2 linked regions of the Tribolium castaneum genome follow. The protein of the gene in region 1 purifies or fractionates together with the protein of each later gene. This does not show direct contact. Links are inferred from orthologs where the notes say so. Each region holds a gene or a part of one and is shown on either strand. Other genes may lie near its edges.

The links. Proteins that work in one complex are often made in the same cells at the same time.
Region 2: the proteins of 26S proteasome non-ATPase regulatory subunit 5 (region 1) and Rpt4 purify together in Homo sapiens (co-immunoprecipitation; 4 studies listed by BioGRID and IntAct, counting the BioPlex papers as one, with this or other methods). This does not show direct contact. The link is inferred for Tribolium castaneum from reciprocal best matches to the Homo sapiens genes PSMD5 and PSMC6.

The regions. Positions count from the first base shown.
Region 1 is NC_087400.1:8,011,129-8,014,884, forward strand, and holds the start of 26S proteasome non-ATPase regulatory subunit 5, read left to right. Parts: upstream 1-1,299; 5' UTR 1,300-1,334; coding exon 1,335-1,516; intron 1,517-1,572; coding exon 1,573-1,960; intron 1,961-3,706; coding exon 3,707-3,756. UniProt on the Homo sapiens protein: Acts as a chaperone during the assembly of the 26S proteasome, specifically of the base subcomplex of the PA700/19S regulatory complex (RC).
Region 2 is NC_087394.1:9,241,554-9,245,309, forward strand, and holds the start of Rpt4 (26S proteasome regulatory subunit 10B), read right to left. Parts: upstream 2,603-3,756; 5' UTR 2,473-2,602; coding exon 2,379-2,472; intron 2,332-2,378; coding exon 2,212-2,331; intron 2,164-2,211; coding exon 1,553-2,163; intron 1,498-1,552; coding exon 1,283-1,497; intron 1-1,282. UniProt on the Homo sapiens protein: Component of the 26S proteasome, a multiprotein complex involved in the ATP-dependent degradation of ubiquitinated proteins.

The DNA.
Region 1 (3,756 bases):
AACTTAGGAAACAAAACGAGATACAAACTTGCCGGTTTTTCTGAATACAAAAAAATAGTACGGCTGAGTAAAAATGTGAGCGCTTAAAATTTTCATAAGAAACATAAAAAAATTCAATCTGCGTTCCACCTCATATTCCTGCAAACTCTGCAAATACGGGTGAAGATACAAATAAAGTGTGAAGAATAAAATTATAAAGAATTAAATTTTCTTCAAAAAAGTCCGGAGACCATATTCCTATCTTTAACGGTTTTGGTTTTAATAGTCTATCTGGTACTTGACTACCGGGAAAATAAAATAAATCCGTCGTTTGGGTGTATTTAAACGAGTTTGGGATAGAACATAAGGCTTTTTTGTAGGAAATTTAATTCTCTACAACTTTCTTTTTAACTGTTAAAAATATGGTGCATTTTTTAACATAGTTTTCGAAAAAAAATTGTATTATGTTTATGTTTTGTTTCATTCATTGTACTGAAAACTGCGCTCTCTGACGACATTAACGGAACTATCAAGGACGGGAACGTTTTATTTGTACGTCGTATCATATCCTAATCCTTAGATATCCGTAGTTATGACAATGTTAAAAAAGTTATTAATTTTTTCCTATTTATCATCAAGTAGAAAAACTTAATTTTGTGTTGTATTTTGTATTTTATTTCACAAACCAAAAATGCATTAAACTTCTTTTTAAAATAAATTAGTTATTACTTATTAATTTCACTATTATTAGAGCAGACCTTAAACGTAATGTGTATTGTTAGTTGCATTTTAAAAGTGTAAAATTTTGAAGATGTAATGTAATTGTAATACGACTCTAAAATTTAAAAATGTGAAAACAAACGTATAATAATATGCTTAAGCAAACACATTTTGCTGTCTCTAGGCGTCAGTTTTTCATTTACTCTGTATAGTGTATAGTTAGTGGCCTACCTTTTAATTCAAATATTCACTGTTGATCTTTTGTAAGTTTTGCAATTAAAGTAAGCAAATATTTATTTTTTTAACTACAAAAACCTCAAGGACACATTTAATTAACGGTTTTGCACCTTTTTAAACAATGGCTCATAGTAAGTTTTTTTATTTTATTATTAGATAAAACGTAATTTTGATAACTACACAGGTAATTACTAATTACTACTACTAAAATTTATACAAATAAGTGCCTGTATTATTAATTTGTAGTAATTTTAAGTCGATGAGTGCGTAAAAATTTTCCACATTACAAAATGGAATTTTTCCCTCGTATTCGAGGAACGACCAATCAAATACGAGAGTCGTAGTAAATTTCCACCTGACCAGTTGGTAGCACTTTTTCCAATTTTCAAATTGTCACGATGGCTTCGTACGAAGAGTGGTGTGAAGAAAAATTATCAAGACTTTCCGATGAAGATTCGCGAATTCCAGTATTAAAAGAAATGAAAGACTTCCTGACTACAATCCCGCGTGAGGAAATGTCCCGAACAGCCAACTCCCTGCAACTCCCTGCAGTTTTCGACTGTCTAAACGACTCAAACAGGTAACCTAACCTCAAAAGTGCTGCGTCAACAATAACAATAATATCAATTTTCGTAGTGAACAGGTCGATTTAGCTTGCGAAGTCCTCGCACTTTGTATGACGAATTTAAATTTAGGCGAAAGCACGAATAAATACGGCGTTTTTTTAGAAAGAGCTTTAAATCATCCATTTTCTGCGGTTAAGCTCATGGCTTTAAATGAGATTAAACGTAATATTGAAAACGAGGACATTCTTGTCGACCTGTGCAAAAGACAGTCGCTTTTAATCAATATTATTAAGTGCATGGGGGACGAGGATCTGGGGGTTGCTAAGGGGGCGGCAGGGGTTATCAAAATTTTGGGGCTGTCGAGCGTGGGGATCAAGCAGTTGACCAAGGCTGATATTTTGCAGTCGTTGCACGATATTATGGGACTGAGCGAAATTGTCAGGTTTAGAGTTTATGAGGTATGAGTAAAATCCATATCCAAAAGTAACGCACAAAAATCATATCTTTGTTATTAAAAAAAAACACCAATGAGTCGAATTTATTTTCGAAAGAGAATATGGACACTGGACAGCTTTAACCAGGAATTAATTTTTATGAAAGCTTCATTCCAACGTTTTTAGTACTTTTTTTTATCATTTTTAATAAAATTTATTAAATAAAATTAAAAATTTTACAGCCCTTAAGAAGTTATAGAATAAGCAATTTTGTTTGGATGTTTTTAATATCAGCTTGTTCCAATTAAACTTTGTTAGTGATAGTAAAACAATTATAAACATTAACAAAGAAATAATTCTAAATAGAAAAACTATTCAAAATATTTATTTTCATTATTTATTTTTAAAGATACACCAAAATTCTGTTTGTTTCTTTAGCTCACCTGGACAGGTTTAACCAGGAACTAATTTTTATGAAGGCTTTATTCCAACATTTTTAATAATTTTTTTTATCATTTTTCATAAAATTTATTAAATAAAATTGAAATTTTTACAACCGTTAAGAAGTTATAGAAGAAGCAATTTTGTTTGGATGTTTTTAATATCAGCTTGTTCCAATTAAACTTTGTTATTGATAGTCAAACAATTATAAACATTAACAAAGAAATAATTCTAAATAGAAAAACTATTCAAAATATTTATTTTTATTTATTTTTAAAGATTCACCAAAATTCTGTTTGTTTCTTTAGTTCACCTGACCAGGTAGACTTTAAACAATTTAAAATAAATTGCAGAAAAGAAGTGCAACATTGAAAAAGTTTATTACAGTAATGATGTAATCATACAGGGTGTCTCAAAGTTCCGAAAAAGCTCCATAACTTGTTTACTATTAAAGATATTGCCTTTTTCTTTTTTTAGATTATTGCTGTGTTTTTGTGTATGTTTTCAAAATATTGCAGTGTATATATGGGCTGTTCCAATATTAACAAAACACTAAAGTTATGTTTTTTCAAATGGAACACCCTAAATTTGATTGCATTTTTGTTTGTAGATTTTAATACTGATGATTGACAAAAACACTCTTTTTTCAAAAAATCATTACATAAAAGCTAAAAATCTCAGAAAAGAAGAACTTTCACCACATTAAAAAAGAAAGTTCAAACTTAAAGGATATGTTATTCTTATTAGCTTTATTATTTAAGAAGATAAAAAATGGAGACGTTTGTTGCAAGTTGAATGACTTCAAAATTTTAAATGGAACACCCAATTTTTTATTTTTGCATTTAAAAGACCATTAAATTGTCTCTCTAAAAACATTAACAGTTAAGTGTCTTTTGCTAATTACACAAAATATATTTAAAATTAAACATAAAAAAAATTATTAAAAAAATGTTTTGATAAATATTTGATCATTTAAAAGGTTTCAAATGTAGTAAAATTTGTTTAAACAAGCGTAAATACGAGGACAAATAGTATAAATAAAACAATTTCACTGAAATTCAAATATTAAAAAAATATCACCCCTTATTTATAAAATTAGACAAGAAGTGAAAATAAAAGCCCTGGTGTGAAATTTTCAATAACATTTTTTTATTTATTTTCTTTCTTTTTTTACTTTTTTACTGCATTGTTTTATACTTACCAATATATCTACTATTAAAAATAGCAAATGAAATCAAAATGTAGCGTTGTCAAAAATAAAGTCGATTTTTTGGAGGATTTTTTTGTGCGTTTCTTTTTGTTCAATCTGTTTTATTTCTTGTCTTGTAGTTGTTGATTGATATCAGCAACCAATCCGAAGAGAATTTCAACATTTTGAA
Region 2 (3,756 bases), on another chromosome or scaffold:
CAGCCAGAAAAGGAATTATCGCTCAATATTATTAAAAACAAACCAAAATTTCACAATTTTCGGTGTGAATTTTGCATTTTTCGCATTTTTAAACACGTTTTGAGTTAAAAATTTAGTTTTTTTAAGAAAAATTTAAAAAAAGTAGGTTTTTTGAACAAAAGATTTATTATTTATTGCATAAATATTGTGACCACAATAAATTTTGGTCACAAGTCATGTTATTTCTGCCTTTTTTTAACCTTTGAGCAAGTTTTAGAGCTATAATCTAATTTTTTTTCGTCATTTCGCGAAAAAAGAGCCAGTTTTTCAGCCAGAAACACAATTATTTCGCAAAATTTCGCAAAATAATTAGAAACTGATGTTAGTTTCTCCCGATTTGGCTCGATTTTAAGCGGAATTTCTTCAAATTAAGCCGAAAAATTACAACATTTGATCCAAAACAACGATCAGTTCTTGAATTAAAATTTTAAGTTTAAAGATATTGCTAAAACAAATAGAAAAATCACCAAATTAAAACACAAAGTACTCAATGTTTTGCTTTTTTGAGTGTTTAGCACGTTTTTGAGTAAGAAACGAAAATATTTCATATTTATTTGAACCAAACTAAAAAATCAATAAAATTTCGCCAAAATAAATTGATTTTTGCTTTTTTCAGATAATTAATAATTAGCGAAAAATTTCGCTAATTAGCTAAAAAATTGCCAAATTTGATCGTAATTGATAGTAATTTAAAACTCATCAAATACAGCAACTTTTCTATACAACATTTTGCAAAATTCTTATTTAAAATTTTCATTGTTTTCCTCCTTTCTCTTCTGCAAACGAGCCGATCATTGTTTAATAATTGGTTTGTATTCTTTCCATTCTTGTTTTAAATTGTTTAAATTGTCTGTTTCTATCACAACGAAAATAGTTCAGCTCTTTTATTTTTGAACCCATAGGCACAAGTTTCATTATGATCTTTTTCCAAATTTTATGTAAATATGCGATTTTTATATTGAAAAATTACAAATAGAAAAGATGTTTTATTTGTTGAGTTCTGTTACCTGTTAAAATTAAGACACGTATTTCTGATACAGCCTGTATTTTGTAAAAACTTGTCAAAACACACCTCAAATTTAAAACAGTATTCTAACAAAATAAAATACAAATCTCTGTTTTACTGTGTTTGTTACTTATACGCCAAATTGTAATTTATTTATTTCATTTTTTTATCTTCTCTTAAAATGTTGGAACGTCACAACGAAATTAACTCAAAATTGTTTATTTATAATTCAATTACCTTAAGTCAGCGCCATTGAACGTGTCAGACAGCTTAACAATCGCTTCATAATCAATTTCCCCATGTTTCGCTATAGGCCCAGCATGGATTTTCAAAATTTCAAGTCGGGCTTGTTCATTAGGAAGCGGGATTTCAATTTTACGATCCAGACGACCTGGACGCAACAAAGCAGGATCCAAAGTATCGGGCCTATTCGTGGCCATAATCATTTTAACCTGAAATCAATACACAAATGAACAACTCCCAAAATTTCTCTCAAACCGAACTGACTTGACCAAGAGAATCAAACCCATCCATCTGATTCAACAACTCCATCAAAGTCCGCTGAATTTCCCGATCAGCTGACGTCCCCTCGGAAAACCTCCGACCCCCAATAGCATCGATCTCATCCATGAAAATAATGCAAGGCTGATGATCTTTCGCATAATTAAACATTTCTCGAATGAGTCGAGCCGACTCTCCAATGTATTTATCAACGATAGCACTTGAGACAACTTTGAGGAAATTTGCGTCCAGCTGTGAGGCCACAGCCCGGGCTAGGAGGGTTTTGCCAGTGCCTGGGGGGCCGTACAGGAGACAACCTTTCGGGGGGGTTATGCCCACCCTCATGAACAGTTCGGGGTTCATGAGGGGCAACTCTATGACTTCACGGAGCTCGCGAATTTGCTCGGACAAACCACCAATTGCCGAGTATGTGACATCGCCGGGGTCCTCATGACTCATGTTGTAAACAAGGGGGTCGACTTCTCGGGGCAAATAACGCATTATTGTCAACGTGGTCATGTCGAGAGCAACACGAGTCCCTGCTTTCAACTTGGTCTTATCAAGTTGCCGGCGACAGCCCACCACGTAACGGGGGCCATTCGTTGCCTTAACAATAACTAAAAAGCACTCTTGTTGATTACTGTTTTCACAAAAGAGAAACTCACATTTCTCCTCAGTTAGCTGTTTCAAAACCTCGCCAACAATTTGGCCCATGCTTTGCAGCGCCTTAAGGTCATTCTCTGACTTGTCGTATTGTTTTGTTAGGTCTTTTAACTGTTCTCGCACTGTTTAACAATTAGTAAAACAAATAAGTTAGAGGAGAGTGACTTACTCTCTTTCAAGCGAGACTCGACTTCTTTGTGTTCCACAAGTTTTTTCCGGTATTCCTGGAGGCTTTTCTCGCGTTCGGGCTCAGTTTGTGTCATTTTGACTCACTTTTTAGTCAGGATTTTCGAAAGTTATTTCACTAAAGGCACAATGACTGGCAGAACACCACAACACCGCACTTTTGGTTTTGACAGCAGGTAGGGAAATTTAATTTTTTCAAACATCGGCCAGAGTCGCCAACCTAGTGAATGCTTCAGTTTTACGGAATTTTGAAAGAACTTTTTTGTAACACAAGACATCTGTTTTAATTCTGTTCTGTAGGGAAAGAGGTCGTGTTACAAAATAATATTATCATATATTTTAAATACAAGGTGATTAAATTTAAGTAAGATGCAACCAACAATACACATTACATTTGAGGATTGCTCTAATTCTAATTAGTCAAAATAATAACTAATATTAATGTGTGCAGCGAGAATCAGGACCGCGCCAACGTACTAAAGAGTTAAGAAAAATTTCATTTTTGGCCAAAACAGTTTTTTCTTTATAAAAAAAAGTTGTTACTCCGAGTGCGTGTTTTTAGGCGACCGAAAAAAGCATACATTTTCAACCCATTGCAATAAAATTCTTGATATTTTTTTAAGAAATTTTGTGAAATAATCGATCATCTGATTAAATTGCATTTTCGTTTCGCTCTTAAACGTAAAATCATCAATGTTTTTAAACCAATTATACGATTTTTCAGTTTGTTTTTATCGAAATTTTGCAAAAAATGTGTCTTCAAATAAAAAACTATCAAATAATGCGAAGTAATACGTTTTTTTTTGCAAAAATTTAAGCATAAAAAAATATAACATTTTTTTATTCAATTTTATGATTTTTTTATTTTTACTTAATTTTATTTTATTCTAAATAATTGCGTTTTTTAGTACATTTTTCGACCGTTTTGTTGAAATATTTTTGGACAATTTTAAAAAATTTCGCTTGGTTATTTGTGAAAATTCATTAAACAACTGCGTTTTTGAATCAAAATGGGTTAAAATATCACAAAAATTAAAATAATCTACTTTTTATGCAATTTAATGAGTTTTTGGTTCATTTTAAAGAAATTTTGCAAAATAATTGCGTTTCTATAAAACGGGGTAAAACGCTTGAGGTAGCCAAATTAAATTAATAATTTATTAATATTGTAAATATTAAATGTTTACCGAATTTTTGAAATCTTGTGTTCAACTCGTCAGGAAAACTGATTTTTTTCTATTCATAACGTGTTTTTATCTTAGCTTTCCCTCAACACAAAATCGCACGTCTAAAATTCTTTAAAATCTTTTTTAATGTTTTTTTAGGATTTCCCGATTTCGCAAACTTTTTATTTCACCCTC